Linked DNA regions of Oreochromis niloticus. The protein of the gene in region 2 interacts with the protein of the main gene of each other region in a pairwise test. Links are inferred from orthologs where the notes say so. Each region holds a gene or a part of one and is shown on either strand. Other genes may lie near its edges. The genes, in order: cox17 and katnal1.

Evidence for each region.
Region 1: the proteins of katnal1 (region 2) and cox17 interact in binary tests that used the Homo sapiens proteins (3 or more experiments, as listed by UniProt). The two-hybrid records come from large-scale screens. The link is inferred for Oreochromis niloticus from reciprocal best matches to the Homo sapiens genes KATNAL1 and COX17.

What each region holds. Positions count from the first base shown.
Region 1 is NC_031987.2:27,667,798-27,679,307, reverse strand, and holds cox17 (cytochrome c oxidase copper chaperone), read right to left. Parts: upstream 4,608-11,510; 5' UTR 4,472-4,607; intron 3,586-4,471; 5' UTR 3,579-3,585; coding exon 3,460-3,578; intron 3,376-3,459; coding exon 3,291-3,375; 3' UTR 3,265-3,290; intron 2,734-3,264; 3' UTR 2,567-2,733; downstream 1-2,566. Other genes in the region: popdc2 (popeye domain-containing 2), read right to left, coding at 1-162; hcn5 (hyperpolarization activated cyclic nucleotide-gated potassium channel 5), read left to right, coding at 8,034-8,218, 9,207-9,393, 9,963-10,067, 10,246-10,383.
Region 2 is NC_031987.2:22,556,953-22,569,653, forward strand, and holds the start of katnal1 (katanin p60 ATPase-containing subunit A-like 1), read right to left. Parts: upstream 6,354-12,701; 5' UTR 6,186-6,353; intron 5,557-6,185; 5' UTR 5,545-5,556; coding exon 5,269-5,544; intron 4,713-5,268; coding exon 4,555-4,712; intron 3,732-4,554; coding exon 3,578-3,731; intron 3,456-3,577; coding exon 3,331-3,455; intron 3,231-3,330; coding exon 3,125-3,230; intron 809-3,124; coding exon 650-808; intron 417-649; coding exon 290-416; intron 54-289; coding exon 1-53. Other genes in the region: zgc:101559 (ras-related protein Rab-33B), read right to left, coding at 7,676-8,122, 10,347-10,604. UniProt on the Homo sapiens protein: Regulates microtubule dynamics in Sertoli cells, a process that is essential for spermiogenesis and male fertility. Severs microtubules in an ATP-dependent manner, promoting rapid reorganization of cellular microtubule arrays.

The DNA.
Region 1 (11,510 bases), about 5.1 Mb from region 2:
GAAGATGAAGAGGCACCCGTAGGCCCCGCTTCCTCCCATGTAGCCCAGAAAGAGGATGGTGTTACCCAACTGGTAGATGGCTCCCTCTGTGTTGTTGCTCCAGCCATCGCAGAGAGGGGGAAAGAGCAGGCTGTCCAGCAGGCTAGAGTTGTCTGCACTCATGTTTAAATCTTTTCGAATAAGTTCTGGAAAGGCTCTTGGTGCACAAAGCAAAGTTTGTTTGTTTTGTGGGGTTTTTTAAGAAGGGACCAATAACACTTGTTATCCACTCAAACTCAGTGCTGTTTCTGTCCTATTACTAGATCATCTGTTTGGATTACAGCTTGATTAAAAATAAACAGCCTGATACTGACCAAAAATGTCAGATGTAATTGTTTGTTCCCTTGGCGTGCAGCGGCAGAAAATTCTTCACCGTGAAGATGTTATCACAACTCTATTTGTTGCAGAAACACAGCTGGAATGGGTTTCCTCTGTTTCTTCTCCTCTCATCATGCGTCCCTTCCTCTCTCCTCTGGCTTCTCGCCCCGTCTTTCCCTTCCAAGTTTTCCCGTAGTCTTTCTTGCTGTGCTTTTCTGTCTCTTTTTCTCACCCTCTGGCCTGCACTGTAGAGCCAACAGCTGGAAGAGAAAAGGATAAGGGAGGCGAGGGGGGGGAGTCGATAGGGCCCTAGAAGGATAACCATGTTTGGAATTGAAACCCAAGGAGGACAGAGTGGCAGACAGAAAGCAGGCCTGCTACTTAACATAACAGAAAGAGAGAAAGAGAGCACAAGAGAGAGACAGAGAGGGGGAGAGGGAGGCAGGAAACAGGAGGGACAAGAGGGACTATAACAAGTAGTATCTCAGAGAGACTCACAAAGTGTCACCCACTTTTTTTTTATCCGACAAAGAAGTTCCTCCAGGGGGGTTCAGAGTTTCACACAGGCTTCACTGAGTCCAGTTTGCTCGCAGGAAGTGTGGCTCTGCTGGTGCATATTTAGAGACACTGTAATAAGTAGGATGGCAGCTCAGGTCAGATTTCAGGTATAAACACACACACCAACATCGCCTCACATATCCGGCTCTCAGCGTGTGGACAGCTCACAGGGACTAAATATCAGTCTATATGAATATTGCTCAGTGAAAATAAGAACGAATGCTATTTTAAAATTAAAACTTTGCAATGGAAATTAATATTAAAAATTTCACACCTAGTAATCAGGAGAAAATAGATCGTGTTATAAATGAGTCGAAACTGAGCAAAGTGTTGTTTTTTAAGGTACAAGAATACAGAACTCCATATATTCAGGAACAGTGCTCCCAGTTTTTGACAGATTTTTCTTTCTCTCTGTTTGGCTGTTTGTGTCGCTGTTGCCCTGCTAGTTGTCTCTGGTTGACAGGAGGACAGCAATCTGAATCCTAGTGAATAAAAGCAGATGAAAGCTAGATGGGCTTCTAATGTCTATGATTTCCTTTAGCGTACGGTAAGTGACGAACCAATATGTCGGCCAAACATCAATATTGGCAATAAGGAGGCACACTGTTTGCAGTACTAAATGTTCAGAGATAGTGTAATCAAAAGAAGGATTTTAAATTCAATGCCATAAAAGTTACAGCCAGACGCGCTTTTTCCTCCCGTCAAGGTGGAGGGTGTGTTTTCAGTGCAATTTGTCTGTTTGTCAGCAAGATAACATAAAAAGAAATCTGCCAAATTTCATGTAACCTGACGGAGAAGTGGATCACGTGCAAAAGAAGAAAGCAATAAATGTAGGCGAATTTCTCAATTGCTTCATTTTTAATTTGAGAAACAGAGCTTTGGTTTTTGCATTCTCCATGAGCACCCTTCTGTGTAAGATTTCTCTCATTTGTTGCAGACATAAAATTATGAATGTTAGCTAAGTGAACAGATAATCTCTCATTTTAAGTTAGTATAAGCATGCACTGAATTAAGAATCTGACATGATTTGAGGTGACTTTTAAACTGCTGACTGGCAACATATACAGATATATATAACATAATAATTTCAAACTACAACATTATAAAGCACATTAAATTAGAAAACGTAAATTGTAACATAGCTTATGTTAATAGGTTTGTTTATACAACCTGTGTACAGTATTGAATCTTTGATACTAATAATTTTACTTTGCACTTGTCAGCCTACAGAGATGTGAGAAACACTTCCTACATGACTACTGAGGGATATTTACTATGTTTAAAGTGGTCCTATATACGTATGTAATGGTATACATATACATAATCATGTATGTATATAATCCCTTCAGTGTAGGCATAATATGAAGTGAATTAGGAGTGTTTTCCAATACACTATCGCATTCCTTTCAAGTGTTTTTTCAAAGTGTGAAAATAATGTCCACAGCCAAGCACACTTCAGTGACAGTGACACACTGTGGAAAAAGAATGCAGATATGCCAAGTATTGACTTTGCAGGGGCAAGAGTTATATTTAACTGTAAGTGCATACCAGGAACAGCAACTGTGGCAAGCAACCGTTTCCCTTGGCAGAACAGATCCTCAATGCAAACCTTAAGATGAGTGCACGACTAATAAAACACCTTCACAACAAGTTTATTGCATAGGATTTTTATTCAATTTCACATCAGAATTTCTCAGATTTTGCAGACTTGAAAAAATAGTTTTCGCACAGTTAATCCAACAAAAGGTATAAATAAGAAGTGCAGGGGGGGAGTGAAGAAACAAATACTCAGGGTCACCTTCCACACACAGCAACACACTGCAAGAGACCAAAATGCACACAATCAGCAATTCACATGACTACTACATCACACCTGACACTGTATGCAAGTGAAAAGCTGGAAGATATTTTATTTAAATTGAGCTGTCCTAAAAAGGGCTGCCCTGGCAAAAGGGGAAAGCCGTTAAACCCAGCATAAACAAATAATGCTGATACTACAGTAAGGTCCGGCTTTTTCATGGTTCACAGAAAGGTCAGGTGCCCACTTTCACGCCACACTGACTCTATTCAAACTGGATTCAGGCTGTCAAAGCACATTCAACTAGTGGCATGTAAACTCAGTGTGCAACCATCACATGCAAGTTTCATTTTGACAGTATCAAAAATAATAATGATAAATGTGTGTCACTCAAAGTTCTTGCAATTCTATATTTATATTAAAGCTGACAGTAACATTGTGCATGTTGGTGCACTCATGTTCTAGTGTGGTATCTAATCGCTACAAATGACTCTAGTTCCCTGGAAAAATTAACTCTGGGACTGTTTGAAGTGGTTTTATTTAATACTTACCACACAAGCACGCACAGAAGAACTAGTTAGACCTTGAATCCAAGTGCCCTCATGCAGTCTTTGTGTGCCTCAATAAGGTCCCTGCAGTTTTCCTCTCCCTTTTCAATGATGCTGGTGGAAACAAAGATGTTGGATGAATAACCATTCTCACTTAAAACGTGAAGACCGTTTCAATTTCTCTGGCCAGCTCCTCACCAAGCATCCCTGACTTTTTTTGTTTCCGGACATGCGCAGCATGGCTTCAGTGGCTTCTTCTGCTCTGTGCTCTCAGTCACAGCTGCAGACTCGACGCTGGCAGCAGACAGGGCTGACATCTTCTGACTGAAACAAGGAAATGAGATGAGTTTTGAGGACTGGCAAACTTTAACCACTGAGTAATATGCGTGTATTTTCACTCAGGCTTCATTTAGATTTACACATGTCTTTGTCACCTGACAAACACTTTTCACAGGGAAGCTGGAATATGCAACAGGAATTTTTCTTCACATATCAAATAAAGAGGTGTGAACCGACTGTGGTCCTATGAATTCTTTATTGCTTTGTTTTAATATTCAACAAAAAGGACTAATTGATGTTTGACGACTAGAACACAGGATGAGGAAAGCAATGCCACTAAAATACTCCAAACACTCACGGTCCAACCAGAAAGCTCATAATCATACAAAATACAGTTGAATAAAAGAAGACTGTGAGGATTCGCCAAAGTAAGCCACTATTTTTATTATTTTGGTGTCGCTTCATTATGACGTTTCATAAAACTGCTAATCAACTAATTACGCGTGAAACGTCCTACCATTACACTTATGCTGCTGAAGGGCGCTGAACTGATGCAATGATAAGGTAGTTATGTAGTTATGATTAGGTCAACCGGCAAAGTCACCACATGCAACACACAACACATGACTCTGAAGTATCCGAGCCTTCAGAGAGTTGCTCATAATAAGTTAAAACAAACAAACAAACAAACCCTGTGTTTGCCTCAGTGTTGTGGTTTACTAGCTTTATCTAACCCTTGTTGTGTAATGTTACTGTCAGCTAACAAAGTTAGCTCTCGGTGGCTAACAGTGATGACATAACTAATAACATGCACACAACATACAACATGGTGACAAACGCTTCGTCCAAACCTACTCAAGCCGTAGTGTAGCAATTAAGCCACCTGCTCGTTATGAACGTAGCTAAGCTATGTTGTGTAACGCTCTCTTACTTGTATGAGGAGGCCGACAGTGCCGCTGGTACACAGACGCTTCACCTTCAAAATGAAACTAACATGCGGGAAACACGTGTTCGCGTGTCAAAGTCACGTGACTATGTCATGTGCCGTGTTAGAGACTTTTGGGAAATGTAGTGCTTAGAAACAAAGGCGAGGAGAAAGAAGAGAAACCACCAGGCAGACAGGTATGTGAGTGTATGGTGAACTTGTTAGAGGCATGCTGACATTATTCTCAGTGCTGAATATTCAAGCATTAACTTATGTGCTGATTATTTATTGATTAGTTTACCTTGAAAATATTAGCTAATTTGATTTTTTTTAAACATTAACTTACATGTAAAATTGAAACCCTTAGCTAAAATAGCTAAAGACGATACTAAGTTTAAGATTTCTTTTTTATTTAGTTAGTTTGCTAGTTAGCTAGCCAGCTAGTTATCTGCCATATTCCAACACTGGGTCAGACTATTTCAAATATTCTGTTTGAACTGAAAAAAGGGGATCACAAATATTTATGTCCAACTAATGTCCCCTTTTGATTGTTAAAAGTTTTTCATAGTTAAGGTTTAATTTGGCCAAAAAGACCAAAACAATTGTATTTCTTGTAATAGGTAGGGCAACTATATAGTCCTGCACAATGTAGGACTATATAGTTGAATAAAAGACCCAAATATCACATTACAGATGTAACAACAAGAGAAATGTTGCTAAATAATTTATGAACTATATAACTATAACTGCCTATATTTCCACTGAAAAAATACACATACACATACACATCAAATAAAGAAAACGACAATATGAAAAATACATTATATATTTACATTTATTTAGACAGTATAAAGAAAATGTGCAAAACCTGCTTGGTATATATTACAGAATACATCTGAAAAATGTTTCAGACTGTACATAATCATTTCTACAGGTGCTAATGCTACAGTGTTCTTAAATTCCCACTATATTATGTTCTTCTGTTTTCTGTTTTGTAGACTGACAGAATTAGTACATTAGAAAAAATGTACAAAGGGCAGCTGACATTTAAGATTCAGGATATCAGGTTCATCGACATGGTCGACATCACCAAGCTTCAAGTTCTATTGCACCGTGGTATTAATGATATGTCAGTGCTGGATGATTGCAGATTATTGAGTCCAACCCCAAACATTTAACTTTCAAACATTCACATTTGAGTAGCTGCAACCAGATTTTTAAAATATTTTTATCTTAAAAATTAGAAATAACTTGTTGCAGCATCACGCTTCCTATAAAACCTACACTTTAGTAATAATCAAGAACGTGTACACGCAGAAAATTAACATCAGCACTGCACAGATTTTATTTTTCTACACAATTCTGTAAGATATTCTGTTATGTAAGACGCAGTTGCTGCTGGTGGGTGCAATATACACAACGTTGCCTCGGGAGTTTTGGAATATGAAAAATGTTCATTTTCGGACCTGCAGTACTGAAAGGTATGTGTGCGCTTCAACATGTCTACTGGGTCTATTGTGCGTCAGCACAACAAAGCAATGCGTAAGCAGAGGCAGTGAGTCACTTATTCTAGTTTGAGGGCCAGCTGTGTGCTAGATAAATAAGCAAGTAAGCATATTGTTCACTGTGATACATGCACTTCCATTTTCTGCAGTCTTTGCTATGCTTTCCACAGTATTACTGTGTATGTGAAACATATATAAATGCATATGATGTCTGCAATGTATGCTCAATTTGATCCAAATACTGTTTCAGTGTTCACAAATGGAAGACAGGTGGAGAGCCATAGTTTGAGTCCTGATCGCCTGATGCCTTGTTGTCCGGTCGGCAGAAAACTTCCAGTAGCTTCTGTTGAAAGACAAATGTAGGCCTCCTATTTTACTATTGTTTGATTAGATTATTTGAAACAGACAACTTGCGAAATACACTGAAAACAAAGAAGACAGTTGCAGGCTAAACTGCAGGTTGGGTTACTCAATGAGCTGTTTTTGTCAGGGCTTTCTAACAACCATGCAGTCATCCAAAGCATGCATGAGGGACAATCTGGGGTTCAGCATCTTGAAAAAGAATGAACCGGCTGAGCCTCTGATTAGCAGACAACCAAATGTACCTCCTGAACTACAGATGTCCTGAATGTGTTGTGTATGTTTTAATGCCAGAACTGGAAGTTGAGGTAAATGGTTTGACTTAGAGAGTGTGGAATGTGTTAAATCCATTGTTTCTATTCCATATTAATATTGTTTTACTTTAAATTAACCATAACCAAATACACCAAGAAAAAAGACATTGCTTTATTATTTGAAGATATGTAGCCTGAATTTAATGCTTAATACTTACATGTCAGTGAAAGTGAAAACTACATCAGTATGACATCCAATAATCTCGTAAGTCTTTTTTTGGATTTGAGGTCACAAAGAACTGAAGCCTATTTTAGGACACACACTGAGGGAAAGACACTGTGCACCTGGACAGGTTGGCACAGGTCTAACACACACACGCACACACACACACACACACACACACACACACACACACACACACACCCACACACACACAAGAATCACGTCAACAGAATTTCCCTTGCAAATCTGCAAAGTCTGGACTCTAACAGAGAGAATTTTCTTATACACAACCACTTTTATTGTTTCCTGTACCCTTCTCCACAGGGACAGTTGTACAAAGTTATTAAAAAAGATTTCATCTCATAAAATGTAGCTCACATTATTAGACACATCCCATGGCCTAAGCTGCCAGTAATTCACCTTACCCACTGACACGGTCTCTAAGTTAATCCCACTGTGCTGGCACAACCTCTAATATCAGTTTTATTTTTCGTTTGTTAAACTAACAAGTTTGCAATGAATCCCACCCACCCAACAGAGTTCAAAAAAGATTCAGGTCCAAATTTTCCACTTTGTCATCCAGGGAAATAAATATTTCAGCCTTTGTTTTGTTTTCTGTTACTGATGTGATATGTGCAAACAAACAACATGGGAGCTGGCTCAAAGCTGCATGCATATGTACAGCATCAGGTAACACAGTACAGGGTTTAATTACATCCCTAGTTAGAGGTGGCCCAGGTTGAACTTGTCCCTGTACATGCTGCCAGATGTCTATTTCACATGACAATAATTGCGATCCCTTCCCATCCCCTGTACATGCACACACCCATCATTGTCTTTGTATTAATGTGAGCCGGACCTTGCCCTCTTGACACGGCTTGATTTATGTGGGGATGAGACACAGATACTGAATAGTTGATGAGCTGGGTGAAAAAGAAAAGAAGTGTAGGGGTGGAGTGGGGCAGAAATAGAGAGAGGCAGACGGAGAGGGTGCGGAGGGAGGGAGGGAGGGAGGGATCGAGCAGAAAGGCGGGTATCCACTCGCCTCGCTCCGCACAGCTTCAATAAGCCCTGAGGTTGGGAGCCTAGTTAGAATATTACCTTGTGACCAATAGGAGAGGTCAGAGCTGGTAGAGTCAGGCTCTACTCATCCTCAGGAGAGGCAGAAGCAGCAGTAGCAGAGGGGAGGATGGCATTCGGCTGATCACAGGGAACTAAAGTTGGCCATGGAGAAATTGAAAGGTCCCAACGTAGCATGCACCAAAGCCAACTGTGGATGGAGAGCCCTGCTTCTCCCGCAACTGAACAGACAGTCCCTGTACGTGTACGGCAGCGAGGTGGCCGTGGAGAAGGAGTGTATGCGACAGCTGGAGAGTGGAGTCTTTGTCATTCACCCTTTCAGCCTCATGAGGTATTTAATATATCTGATAGATTGAGGTCAGTCATGCATATCACTTCCACTGTTTCTTTGGTCTGTCTCTGTAAGTTTTTATAGTTAATTGATTACTTAATTTCTCCCTTACATTTAATAAATAATTATGCATTTTATAGTTCAGTTTTTGGAGTATTTACTGGAAATACAAAGGTGCATTGCATTAACTTGTTCCTTAGAATATCATTAGAATAAGTGCATTAATGAAAACAAATATAGATACTGCTTATAGATTTACTGTATCCAGTAGATTTACTGAGTACCATAAGTTTAGCATATTCCATAAATCACACCGTTCACACCATTGTTGGATGAGACAGAAGAGGAATTCCTCTTGAGTTCTCTAGTTTAAACTTTTAAAGTGTTTTTTTCTAGTGTGTTTAAGGACTAGAGTTGTTTGACTGCTAAACAGTATTTATTCATCCAGTCATTTATTGGCAATGAGAATGATTTTCTTCTGATATCACAATAGAGAAAGCTTAGAAATAAAGCCGAAAATAAGATGCATTATTTTTAGGATAAAAGGAAACAAATACATTTTGAAGTGACACAAGAAAACCTAAAAGAACGATCCAAGGTTTATAAGCAATAACCGAGTTAGAAGAAAAATACGGACCTATCAAATGACTTCTTTAAGGAACGCGTTTTCACAGAGAGCTGGTTTTGTATTATATATGCAGGATTGCTAATATTAGTCTGTAAGATGATCAGATGGAGGGAAATTAGAGAGGGAATGAAACAATTGAGATCAGAGAGCAGAGTTATTTGAGCCTGGCAATCGTACCCTGGCTGAGGAGATGTACACTTACATTATCAGAGTATTTAGTGTGCATGAATCGGCTTGCCTTACTGGCTGTCTAATGAGTTCTTCTAGCAAATGATGTGAGACTTTCCACTACACTGTGACATGGAAAATAAGAGTTACTGGAAAGTCACACATATGTTTTTGTGACCATTCCTCCCCTAGGAGTTACTACATCTTGATCATGATGGTCATCACATTTCTGAACCTGATTGGGATTCCCATGGAGATAGCCTTTCTGGACGGAAACAGCGGGCTGGCATGGGAAGGCTTTAACGTGTTTTCAGACACTTTGTTCCTAATAGATGTGGCACTGAATTTCCGGACGGGGATCATAACCGAGGACGCAGAGGTGAGAGTGGCTATATTCTATTTTCAGACACAATCTGGAAGTCTATAATCCGGGTGCAGACGAGCACATACATTCCATCTCTGCACCATCTGTAATCTACTGAATACACGAAAGGCTAGATTAGCGGCATCCCCCTTAGCTCCTGGACACGGGTGAAAACGGCAACTGCTGTTTGATTTTATAACGGGGATTATGATGTTGTGGATGAATGAGAAGTATAACGTTTCAAATTAAGTATTATGCACAATATATCCTGTTTGTTTTCGCTGGCTCGTGTTTCGTGACTTCTGTCTTCCTAATGGCCCATCTGTGATGTTTTTCCTGTGTGTGGTGTTTATTCTCGACCGCACATCTGGTTTTGCCAGATTTACTCTCAGTCTGCTTGAAATATTGATGCATGTGCCTCAGTAACATTTTCAGCACCCTGCCAAACTCGTCTGACATCACACTCACTCTTAGTTTTGGATTACCTCTCCAAATATTGTTTTAGTTCAAGTGTTAAATTATACATGCGATTGTAGCACATGGTGAACGGCGTCTTCATCTATCTGCTCTGTTCTGTTTTACAGGAAGCAATTCTGGATATCAAGCGGATCCGAGTCAGCTACCTGAGGACATGGTTCATTCCAGACGTTATAGCAGCTTTCCCAATTGGCTACATACTGCTGTTTGCGGTAATAATAAAGAGGAAGAGGCAGGAAAAGCCAACACTGTACTTCTTCTGTACTGTATATGTTAGCACTTAGAAAAGGAAGAAAGCCTTGCTGACACTTATTAATTAAGCAAAGTTGTAAATGAGCAAATGAGGTGGATTAAGATTCTAATTGCAGCATTTTTAATGTTCAATGTCAGGGACTACATTACCACAACGATGACAACCCCTCCAAGACCAACAAGATGATGAGGATACTGATGTTTGTGCGGATCCTCAGTTTAATCAGGCTGGCTCGAGTCTCCAGACTGGTCCGGTTCTTCAACGAAGTGGAGAAAGTAAGTTTAAATGCCAGATAGTCTTCAAAGCTCACCTCTGAAATTCAATCAGCCTTTCTCCTCCCTGCTGCTGATACTTACGACACCGGACTCTAGTGACAAATCTGACACTTAGCAATGTCATGCTCGTGCACTGATGGGCAATATGTTTATTTTCTAAGTGAATTTGCCTATCTGTGTTTGGCAAACAGTAAATACAGAAACACTGGGCTCAATCAACATGGGTTTACGTAACAAATGACAGTTTCATATAGGACAACACCGTTATCTCTCTGGCAAGGTGTTTTTATTGCATTATCTATGTTTGTTTATAAACTGGTAGTTGCGATAATAAATGGTTTGTAGTGTGTGTTTTGTTGGGGGTTCCCATAAATCCTGGAAACTTTATGCTGTCCTTTAGCTGTCTTTTTCTTTTGATGAAAGATGCCTGTCTCATCGCTACCAGATCTTGCAGCCAAAAATCTGGGCTCTGTTCAGGAATCAGATCATGTTAGAATGGCAGGCTGAGGGTTAATGTAGTGTTTTATCAACACATCGCTCGCGTTTTGGAGGTGTTCTTGTTTCAGTAAGCTTTTTGTCTATTCTCTTGTCCATTGTGGCAGTTTGTGTCATAAACCTCTGTGGGTAGTGTGCTTTTAACTGACTGGTAAATTAGGTTTGGATCAAGAAATCTGTCCTTAAAGCATATTTTGAGTTTATTAAAAACCATTATTTATTTTTTTTCTAAAGTCACAATAAGCTAGAAATACAAGCAGTTGAATGATCAAACATGTACATTTGCACAAGAAAATGATTAAACCATTATCCCACGTGTTCCTCATAGTTTACACATCAACGTCCCACTCCAACTTTGAGCATGTCTTCTTACAGCAGTCGTGTTCTCTCAGCCTTCCTTTGCAATTACCATTATTTTACTTGCAAATAAAGTCCATTACATGTATTTTACTCTCCACTTGTGTAGGGTTGGGGCCAGCTGTGATAGGGTGAGAGGCAAGGTACACCTTAGTTAGGTCACCAGACCCATCACAGGGCTAACAAATGAGGTGGTTAAGATAATCTGACTAAAGTGCTGGCTCACTTACAGCCTAGCTCCTCATGTTTCTCGTACCATCCGACCTTGCTGTATT
Region 2 (12,701 bases):
CAGGACCATCACCAACTTAGAGGGGTCGTCACCCTCCAGGGCTCCCCCAACACCTGCTCGCAAAAAGCAACAAAACAAAATTTGCAGCTTGTTTACGCAACACATTCAGTTTCAAAGTATCTCAAAAAGTCATTTAGCTGTAATGAGGCGCCAAAGGGACAAATGCATTATGACACCTGTCCCGTTTGCTTCTAATTCAAATTTTTGCAATATCCTTGATTAATCCCTCAAACAACTGTAACAGCAAGCACCGCACAGCTTCACCTTCCTATTTCTCTAATCCACTAACCATCCATCTGAATAAGAAGTTCAGATTTGACCCTGCGGCTGGCTTCGTGTTCATCAGATGTTCCTCTCCTGCCACAGATGGAGTCGATCTCGTCTATAAAGATGGTCGTTGGCGCATAAAATCGGGCCTGAGAAGGAAGAAGTTTCGCATTGTGAGTTTCCTTTCCGCTGCAGTGCACACACACATGTAAATAGGAAGCGGCCGTATTCTTCTGTGCTGCTTTTATCCAAAGTGCTTCGTAATTTCACTTTGATTCACCCATTCAAAAAACATACACACACACTCACAGGGAACGAGATGAAATGCAAGGGTTCAGCATTTTGCCCATAGGCCCAAATACTTATTTCCACACACACTCACCATTTCAAACAGCAGACGGACAAGTTTTTCCGACTCGCCCCTGTATTTGGAGGTCAACGTGGAGGAGGACACATTGAAGAAAGTGGTCCCACATTCTGTGGCCACGGCTTTGGCTAACATGGTTTTCCCCGTACCTGGAGGGCCGACCATTAATACACCCTAAGAAGCAAAATGTCACACAATCTTAAAACATATAAACGAATGAACTTGCACACACACAGAGAGAAAGCATCAGGCTGCAAACACAGAGGATCAGTATTCAGTTCACTACGACTATTAACAGTCATTATATCAGTATGCGGCTCCCACATTCCTTTTAAGAACTTCCTGGGAAATAGACTTAATAGCTGCCTTGTCAAGACTCACATGAGAAGATCGATACCAAGTTAAACATTACGATAGTTGAGCACACAGGAGATTTGGGGGGAGGGGGCTAGCTCAGTCCAGATGTTAAAAAAAAAAGAAAAAAATCCATTTACCAGCACCTCTAAAGCTCGCTCCTGTGAGAATAGGATATTAGTCTGAATGTGAATGGATTGCCTTCCCGTAGACTGTAATCCCTGTTTGAGACTGGATAATTGCGTGTTATTTAAAAGCCTGTGATATTAAACAAAAGTGTCAAACCCTGATTTAAATCTCCTCTATAACCATTTTTTAATATCGCTGCCACTCCGGCGTCTAACAGTTCTATATCTGCTCGGTGCCTTTTGCTACGGAGATTACAGAAACCACAAAAGGAAGCACGGCTGACATAATCCATTTCATTTTAAAGAAATTTTATTTTTATGCCTCAGTCAATTTAGGCTAGTGTGTCTTACGCTGACTGCAGGACTGAGTCGAGCTACTCGGAATATAAAACAGTACTGCGGTGGGTATTGATCAGAATCTCAGCAGGAGCAGATGGGAGCGTATGTGCACCTGCATTAGGAGTAGAAACAGTCAGACGTGCTGCAGAGCACAGAACAAAACGGAACTGCGTAGACCTAAATGTGCGTGCTAATAAAATACATGCCTCCACTCACCTGTGTGCTGAGAAAACAACCATTAACCTGTTTTCCTCTGCAACTGACTTATCACTCTTTAATTTTACTTCACTTTCAGCGATTAAAAAAAGAAAAAGAAAAAAAAGTCTATCCATCTATTTAAAGTTAGTGAAGAATTTTAATTATGCATGCCTATATAAGACAAATGAAAAGCATTGTGCTCCTATAACCCCCCCCCCCATAAAGTATTAACCCTCACATGGTTGGGCCTCAAGGGAAGCGGTCTCACATGATGAAAGTTTAACCGAGGCTGATGCAGAAGAAGCCTCCCATCTCTGTGGAGTCCGTGGAGACTGTGACTTTGTAAAAACATTTTAGTTGGTGCATTTTACTTGTGATCAGGCTACGTGATCAGCCGGGCTTCGAAGTTTACCGCTCTTTCTGAATTTAGCCAACTGCATTCTGCAGTGTATTGGTAGATGTTACCTGTTTATAGATAAAATGAATGACATTACATATGCAAGTTGTTCCATTTTATCAAATGACATTTGCAGATTGGTTCTTATTCTTAAAATGTGTCTTCATCTTCCTCATCAGTCATTTATTTGAGGCTGAAGTTATCACAAATGAAAATTATTTGATAATTTAGTGGTTTTTTGTGATGTCTGTCAAGCTCTCTGTGTTAGCTTGCTCTCTCTCTCCACTCACTGAACCTCGACTTTATGGAAATTTGCATGCATGAACACAAGACAGAAATAAGAAGGAAAGCGTCACTTTCTGATTCTGAACAGGCGCGACTTGTTTAACATTTACTGTTAATGTTACTGTTAGGTGAGCCAAAATATTATTATTTATTGTCTTTATTTAAAACAAGCACATGTTGACTGTGAACGACTTCGACGTGATTTTATGCTGTATTTACTTGGAACTGTTAAGTTGTTGATGGAATCTTTTATGCCACGGCAGAAGAGAAATGCTAAGTTTGACATTTTAATTACTCGAGAGAGAGAGAGAGAGAGAGAGAGAAATGTGCTGCATGAGGCCAAATCTCACGTGATCAGATACAACGAGACGATCATTTTTTAGGAAATTATACAGGAAAGTTTGGAAACATGTGGACAGAAACGAGCAAGATAAAACAAAAGTCTGCAGAACTGAACTGAGGCTGACTTGAGTTGACAGTGATAGTGTCAACAGAAATGGTGCACTTGAATGAAGTGCTAGATTTAGTGTGAAGCTAACTAGTCTTGATGTAGAAGTTGGTGTTGACCTTAACGCTCAAACTTTGATGTAGCTGGTGCAACATGCTGCAAGATACTCAAAATGGTAGGTGTGTTACTGAACAAAGTGAGTAGCTCACAGCTGAGAAACATCTTTATAGATTTCTGTAATTACATACACATTTTTTAAAACTCCCAGTAAGGAACTAGATAAAGTTTGCCTGTAGAGAATATGTGAAGAATCACAGGTGTGTTTGTGTATGTGCGTGTACCTTCCATGGGCGGCGAATGCCCTTAAAGAAATCAGGCATCCACATCGGCAACACCACTGCTTCTCTCAACAGCTTCTTAGCATCTTCCAAATCAGCAATGTCATTCCTGCAGTTTACCAAAGTAATTAGCCAGCAGCGCTGTTGAAATATGTCCTCATTGCAGAACCTTAGAAGTATTATATAAGTATCAGAGGATCCTTCCATACCAGTGCACGTTAGGGTTACGGGACACAATATCTCTCTCCAGCGAGTCCACCAGGTCACTGTCATATCCTGTGCCATCAAACTTCTTATGCCCTTCATCCCCCTGCACATCTCCCCCTCTCTTTCCCTGATGGAGAAAAACAGATGGAAAAGAAACAAAATAAAAACCTGATGTGTTTGGAGCACAGCCTTACTCATTTCCTATTTATCAATCTGTCCACTAAACCATGACACAGCCGGAGTCTAAACCTTATCATCTTTGCATTTTGTGAATCCCGGCCGGTCTGCTTTAGCGCTGGCCTGAGCATGGCCTCCCGGCCCTGCCCCTCGATGCTGCAGGCCAGGGGACTCTTTCCTCTGCTGCTTCACTCCACTGTTGGGCCGCTTTACTGGAACAGGATTCCTACAGAGACATATGCGTAGGAATATACAAATGGATAATAGTGTGATAATAACAGGACACACCTACATAGGGAGCCATCAACCACAGGTTCCCATCAGTTTACCAAATGTTTCTATAGAGCATTAGCTATAAACCAGCTCTGCTACTTTTCTGCAGAGGCACATTGTGCTTGTAAAGATGAAAGTGATTATGCAAAATATGTCTCTTTGTACTTTAAAGAGCTCTTCCTTATGGAGATGTTGTGTTCCAGAGTTTCTGGGTAGCATCACTAACAATCATCTCTGTCAAAACTGATGTTCAGTAAGTTAAATACATATATAGTTTGCCACTGAGAAAGCATTTGTAATCTGCAGTTAAAAGGGAAAAAAGTCCATATTTTTTGTTTGTGTTGTTTTAAACTCCACATGAAAAGAAAAAAAAGAGAACTGACAAAAAGATAGCAGTCTGCAAGAATCTTTTTAAGCTTTCTGTGTATTATATGTATTATATGGAATTAATGGTCTTAAAATAATACAATTTTTCCTCCAAAATTTAGAGAGTGAGGCTAAGACACTGCACTGTGCATGTAGTTTATTATGGGTGAGTTTGGAGTATAGTTTAAAACAAAATTATAACCCAAACTTTTTTAGATCACAGTGCGACACGCTTACTATAACGCTAAATAAGAACTACTTTATGTTTTTTTCCCCAACTGATACCTCAGCTGGTATTTGTTTTGCTGGCTCACATATTCAAAACTTCACTTATTTATTTTAACTGACAGCAGGAAAAGAAGAAAAAAAATCCATGAAGCTAAAAACGTAGCTCCAACACATCCACACACCTGTGCTCTGCAGGGATGGGAGGGGGCCACACAGCTGGATCTACTCTCTTCTCCGGCTGCAGGGCTTGGATGTCAGTCGGCTTCTCTGACTTAAAGCTCTCCAGCGTTGTCATGATAGTTTTCACTTGCTCGCACTCCTCAGTCAGTTCCTTACTAAGCTGGAAACAAACGGAAGAAGTATTGTATTTGCACTGCATCACTGAGCAGCCAGCTGAAAATACAGCAGCTGAACTAACAAAAACATACAAAAAAAACCAAAACAATGCACAATGTTGGGCAAAAAAGCAAAACCACAACAACAACAAAAAACTCCTTCAAGAAGCATGGCATAAAACACAGCAGATCGATATATAGGCAACAATTTGGGTAGTTACTTAATTTAATAAAGTGCTTAATTAGCATTTAAGTCAATGGTAACCAGGACATAAAAAGAGCAAATATAGAAATCACCAGATAAATCTTATAAAATACTCGATATTAGCTTTTTATTTTTCATTTAAATTACGCCATCATCTTTGCGTGCCAGAGTTCACCATAGATTTAAATTCAGGATTCTCTGAGTGCCAGGCTTCTCTCTTATAATGTCTCTGCATTTACACCAGCAACATTACAGAATGCTTTTGCATGTATTTTGTCCACCAGAGACGACCAAACTCATAGATCACAACAAACATGAGAAATGACACAAATTAAAGTTTTCTTAAAATTATCCACCTTGAACAAAAAACAGCCGTTGACATTAAAGGAAAGCTTTTCATCCAGGATTAAGTCCCATGTACAGTTGAACTGAAGTCTCAGGTTCAGTAACTGATATACCACGGGACTCACCTGTTGCCATCTGACTGTAAGTGCAGGGTCTCTGAGGGACTGACAGTGCTTGTGGATCTGTTGAATGACGCCCTGGTAGTACACAATGGAGGAGTCATAGTTCCCAAGCAAGGCGTACTCTCGGCCCTTCTTGGCGTTATCACATATGTCTGACAGATTCATGCTTAATAACAGCTACGTGGAAAAAAAGAAACAAGCAATTGCATGACCTGATTAGTGAAACAGTAAGAGTTCAAAGGTCAAAGGAGTTTGCAAAGAAACTGACTACTTTGACTACGATGACCTGGATGACTGAGAACCTTCACAGACATAAGAGTTCAAAGGTTAATTCTAGTTCAGTGTTTCAATCTAAAGCCTCCACGTTTTTCTTCCTTTTATTAATATTACTATTATTAAATGTCCTCATTATAATTGAATGTTATAACACGATGGGGCAGCTCCTTGAATGTCGGCTGCCCATCAGATACCTCAGAAACGGCTACACCCGGTAAAGCACGTTAGTTAAGCTAGCTGATGTCGGTTTTGAATGAACGCATTTGCCCCAGGCGCTTCACCTGCTTACTAAATGAAACCTCTGTTCAAATCAGCTTCTTTTTTTAAGCACACCCTGTAATATTACCGGCGTTAGCCCTTTGCTAGCTTGCTACTAGGCCACAGAGGAGAAAACAAAACGAATCCTGTGGCAATAACCCAAACGGTACTTAATCCTCCCAGCGTGCGTTCAAATTGCCGGTAGACAAAAACACCCTACCGACGAGCTAAATTAAATTTTAATTGCGTGTTTACAAAAAAAATTCTCATACCTGTATGAAAAGCCCTCGCTTGTATGCTTTTTAATCAGATGTCCAGCATTGAGGACAGTGTTACCATGGCCGCGGAGAGACGCCGCGCGAGGAATACAAACGGCTCTTTGCCGTGCTGCTTTCACGGATTTGCTGCAGGCTGGTAAATGTGACACCCTAGACGTCGCCGATGAAAGCAATTCGGCTGCTGACCTGTGATCGCCGCTTATATATTAACGCAGTCAAAATCTAACCTAGTGTAAGGCCTAAATTGTTAGATGTATTCTATGTATAAATACACAATTAGCTACAAATGAAGGATTTGCTATTTTACGTGTTTACGCTAATGTATCAAAAGAGCTATGTCATGCACAGGTTTGCCACTGGTCGTCGCTAATGTGTCAAATACTGCAAGGTATCGTCTTTAATTTCACTACAAAGCTTGTAGCTGTAGTTTTGGAACTTTTAATCGTGTAACACGATCCTTTTCAAGTGATTAAGTGAAACTTTTTTTTCCTTAGCACAAATTAAAGCGGATCTAGATTGGCTACAGGTCATGAATTAAAATGAAAAAAAACCCCAAAACACACACATATAAACACACCAGCTGTGAAGCAATAACTGACAGAGCAGTGTTGACTCAGCGGTGACCACCGCTAACATTACACTTGGAGTGGCAAGCAACACCAGAAACATTAAGAAAAGAACATGACACCGAAACAACCACTTTTATTGATTTTCATCTTTACAGTGTATTATTATTATTGTATACATGCAACACATTAAACAGTCAGCTGTGGTGTTTTTCCTCAGATCCACTGAATTTCTTTTTAGGCATGCTTTTCAAGTGAACTAGGTGGAGCAGCTACATTTTATCCCTTGTGTTCTTGATCTTTCTCTTCAAACAGCTGTCCATGTGCATTAGCTGACACAAATACATTCAATAACAGCACCAAGTCTCACACTGCACTTTTAAGAACTAAAATATCACTTCAGAACATTCAATTGCAGTGTTCGTCACAGTATCAGCATATCCTATTGGTCCCTTTACACACACACACACACACAAAAAAAATCAATTTTTCTCTTCATTACGTTTGTCTTTTAATTGCATTGAGACCTGCAGATACACTATAGTGCAGTAATGCTGCTGTACTGGCAACGGCTGCATATCATTTATGATCATGCATCCACTAAAGTGCGCTCTGCAATCTTCTGTTTGCAGACTCGGCGATCCGAAGTGCAGTTTGGGCTACAAATACTCGGCATACCTCCATATGCATTCATGCATTTTACTGACTTGTTTATTTAATTTAGCTGTGCCTCATACCAGGCAGGGAAAATTGTAAAATCTTACCAAGCTTCTATCATTTCTAGCTAACTGATATGAGAGTGCTTTATAAATTTTAAGCCTCTGTGTTGTTGAAATCTGCTTTTCTCAGCACACTCCTGAAGGACTGCCATGATAGTATTATATAATCCAAGTACATCCATGGAGGATGTAGGTGACCTCAGCATTGACAAGTTGCTGCTTCCCGCTCTCTCTGGTTCCACATTTGCCTCAAATTGCTCTCACTGGGCTGCTTTAGTCTCAGGGGTTTGTGGCTCTTCAGCCTGTAAGCTAAAGTCAGAAAGATAGCATCCACATTTTCCTTTTCAGACGGGTCCTTGGCTGAAGTCTCAAACAGCGGGAAGTTGTAGCTGTCAGCGAGACACTGTGCGGCTGATGTGGGAACCTCCCGGCGGTCCCTCAGGTCACACTTGTTTCCTACCATGATGCGGGGCACAAGGGGCCCCACGGAGTGCCGGCTGCACTCCTGAATCCACTCGGGGATGCTCTCGAAGGAAGAAAGGCTGGTCACGTCATACACAAAGATCACAGCGTGGACGCTGCGGTAGTAGTGCTCCACCATGCTCTTCCTGAAGCGCTCCTGACCTGCTGTGTCCCAAATCTGTAACTAGCACAGCAGAAACAAATTGATGCCACAGAGTCCTATTTAAAGCATACGGCCAGTGTTATTTTATATTTGTGTTTTTGCCAGCCAGTTCAATAGGAGGCAGCAAAGCGTCATTCCAGCTTCCCTATTTTGTTTATGCTGCTCAGCTCCAACCTTCAACGTTTGTTCCTACTAAGTGCTTACATATGCTGTATGTGTTTGTGTGTGTGTGTAAATATACATCTCTATTTTTGCAGAATTACATACTGTTTTTTTCTTAATGTTTCAGCATGATGCATCTTGATTTTTTTCAAAACAAAGTTTTAGCAGCCTCAGGGAAATGGAAGGATACTGCACAGCAGAATAAGCCATACTTTATTAGGGATGGGTATCGAAAACCGGTTCTTGTTGAGAACCGGTTCCCACTGTTTCAATTCCTTGGAATCGTTTGCCATTTTTGCAAACGATTCCCTTATCGATTCCAGTCGCCCCGAATGACGTCACCACGTTGCGGAGCGTCGGAGCGTACCTGGCAGGAAACACGGCGCCTAAGCGGCTCAAACGCTCAAAAGTTTGGTTATACTTTACCAGAACGGATGACAACAGGGCAACTTGCAATACTTGCAAAGTAGATATTTCATTTAAGGGAGGAAACACTACGAATATGCAAAAGCATTTGCTCACAAAACACGCGATGAACTTAAATGAATGTCGTGTTTTTAATTCCGCTCCGGACTCGTGAATCTCAACCCAGCAGCAGTGGTAACGTTTGCACGTCATCTCCCGTTAATGCGGCAGGTAAATAATCAACTAACAGTGCATATTATGTTAGCGCGATCTGCTTTATTACAAAACCTGCCATTACTGTGCGCTGCATTTAGGTGACCGTGATGAGAGAGACAGACAGTCTGGCTGGCGCTCGCTGGCAGTTGTCGCTGCAGTCCACCGGTAGCGTCTCTTTTCAGGCCCGAATGTCACCGAGCAGTGACTAAGTTTGTGGTCAAAACCTTGCAGCCATTTGCCACAGCAGATGGTAAGTGAATGTGTTTAATTGTAGGCAGGGACATTACTGAATATTCTTGTGTAATTGCTACAGAATAATTTATGTTATACTTTGTTATTGCTACAGAAGAATATTTATTTTATTATTTTACATTTACAATTTTCCCCGGGGACCCTGTGACACCCCATTGAAGAGCCATAGGCTGGATCTCTTAAGATCTCACTGTTGGGTTTATAAGGCCATGTTACTCCTAAATTTCTATCTTGTTCAGAGAGAAGATATAAAACAAAATTCTAAGCTAATCGACCTTAGTGTTCTCCTTTTTAAAAATAAGAATCGATAAGAGAATCGATAAAGAATCGAATCGTTAAACAGAATCGAAAATGGAATCGGAATCGTTAAAATCTTATCAATACCCATCCCTATACTTTATCACCACAGACTCAATCAACTGCTGGGTTTTTGCGCTTGCTAAAAAAATGTCGGTTAAGTTAGGATAGTTGGGACATTTGTGCAGCAGACACTTGAGCATCTTATAGAAGGAGAACCTGAGGTTTAAATTATTAAACCAGAGATGGCTGAATTCCTTTTATCGGCATTCGGGTAATGTGCATCCTGGCTCACTGCCTTTTACTCACTCACCGTCATGGTTTACTGAAACACCGACAGACAGAGCTAATGTGAGTGTCATTATCATAGACTGCATGTTCCCACTGTGATGCGTCAAATTGTCTGCTGTGGAAAGTACTCCAAAATAGACCTTTTTTGACAGCACCTCCAAAAAACTGGGTTTAAATTTGCGGGAAAAAACTATTAAAAATCTACTTGGGTGACTTGTTATTGTGTTGCGTCTGGATCACTTCATCAGACTGAGGCATGGTTAATAAGATCTGTTTCACTTTGACTGGAAGCTCGTAAAAAGGGGGAAAATCTCCAGGCAAACAGGACTATAAGCAGGCATAGAATGAAAATGAACAAGAACAGAAATGACTGTGAACTGGCTTTACACCAAGTTTCGTTATTCCCTTTCTTGTGAACAATGACAATGGCCTCATAGGGGTGACAAAGCCTTCATTTTAACAACCGGTCATTTTAAAGTAAGCTCCATCACATGCCTACAGGCTGAAAACAGACTCCAGGTCAGGCTCTGTGAGCTGACCTATAAACCTAACATAGACAAAAAAGCAGTGGACGTTCACGGGTATCTGCCGTGTGCCTTTCTTAAAATGTAGGACTTCTCACCTTGATACTCTCTCCATCCAGCTCCAGCGTCCTCTCTCTGAAATCGACCCCGATAGTTGCCTCGGGGTTTTTCAGGAAAGTGCCCCCGCAAAACCGGTAGGTCAAACACGTCTTCCCCACATTTGAGTCTCCTATTACTATTATCTTGAAAATCCGAGCGTGTGTAGTGTCGTATTCGTGGTGAGAGGAGAGCTCCAGGGAGTCGTTTCGACTGAAAATTGTGTCAAATTCCTCCCCAGGTTTGTTTTCTATTGCCATTGCTCATCTTCTCGCGGTCTAGACGGCGCTACAGCTCTGAAATATCGCGAGACTCCAAAGGAGAGTACCTTTGAACCTATGTACCTAAACGTAGCTGTAGGCTACGTGCAGAATACAAGTAATTCATCAAATTCTTGTGTTATTTAGCTGTACACATTATTCTTTAGAGATCTGATAGAGAACTTGCATGAGGAAAAGAACAATTAAAAAAATGTAACGTGGAATATGGTTAGAGATTATTTTCCCCTTTCCTTTCATTTTAATTACTCATTTTTGGCCATACACAAAAATGACAGCATGGTTGTGCCGATTTTTTTTTCTGTTTCCCTTCCTTAAGAATGACCTCATGGCAGCCATCCTCTCCATTCCCGATTGGCCTTCAAGGAACAGCAACAGCCCCCCCGCATTTCTTAGAAAAAAACACTTAAAAAAAAATAAAGACTAGAAAGTCTAACTGATTGGAAAAAAGAAATGAGGGGTGAATCAAGTCTTCCGCACAATAAATACAAAATATTTGAGAAAAGTTTTTTTAAATCAATAAATTTTTATTTTTAAAATCATGTATGCTATTATATTTATATACATACAGACATATCACTCAACCACAAACACTCCAAGAGCACTAATATATTAACCTCATACAAATTTGTACAACTTACAAAAAAGAAACAAAGAGAACATCTAACAATGGAAATCCATTAAACAGAGACAGTCTCAAATAAATACAAACGTAAGATTTAAAAAGAAAAAAAAATCATTCTGCTTTTCTGCAGCAATTCAGTCAGTCAACACATCATGAATGTCTCATAAAAAAGAAAAAAGTATTACCAATACTTTCATTAATGACACATTTTTCTATTAAAACTCAATCCTCCTAGAATTAGAACCTTTTTGAACTATTTTTCTGTTTTGCACCATATTAAACTCACAATACTCACAAGACCACTCTTCAGAACCCGAACCTTCCAGTTTCACCATGCAGTGGCAATAAATACGACTTCTGTAAAACTCAGCACTACACACACTTGTAGCTCTGCAGCATACACTGATGTTTATTTGACACATTTACCAAAAACAGCTTTATAATCCACAGCCAAGCACCCCATCTACTTCAATAAACTTCATTGTTCATCAGAGAGACAGTCGGGACTGCACTCATTTAACAGTTTATTTTGTAAACCCAGCTCTGGAGCCAGCAGCTCCATTTCTACCATGCCTTCGCTGCATGTCATTACCCACAGTTCCTCTCCCTTTACTCCCAAAACTGCTTGATAAAAATCCCCTGACTAAGACTCATTCGTGATTATACTCTTCAGTGTTTTCAGAGGTGCTGATTCAACTTTATGGTCATTATTTTGTGTGATCCAGCATTCTGCTGATGAGGATTTGTAATATTTTATCTCCACCATTTATCTCAGTAAGTGCAAATAGCGTAGGGGTTGCTTGGCTGGGCTTCTCTGCAGTGTTCCGGCAAGCAGATAAATCATCACACCCAAGCAATACAAAAAAAAAAAAAAACTGTTGCAACACACAAAAAAATAAAGTATAGATAAGAAAACACACATACACTCTCTGATTTCAAACAAAATCATAAAACACAGCAGCCGTCACCAGAACATCCGGATCGCACTAAATCTAAAAAGGAACCTCTGTCATCGCAAATGGGCTTTTGCTGAAGCCTAAACCTGAGAGAGTGTACAGTACATTGGCTCCTAGACTTCACGCAGTAGTTTTTACAGCACCGCCTGTGTGTGTGTGTGTGATGTCGCTGTGTGCATCAACTACATAAAAAGGACCATAAATTTTAAAGCCCAGTTCATAACCAGTTATTTCATAGTCATAAACAAGAGGCACTTGAGATGCCTGATATCACAAACACTCAAGCCATGATTTCACGCCGATCTTAAGCTCGCATGCTTATTTATTCACTCTAAAGAGAATGGCTTACCCAAATAACTCTTCATGTAACATAAAGTTAAAGCTTAATAGCGGCTCTCCACTCAGGAGTACTAGTGGGCACATTCGTACAGCTTTAGGTTCTTCTGGGTTTGGCGTGGACAAATCTCTCACAGGCTCTACAAGCTCGGAGAGAAGGTC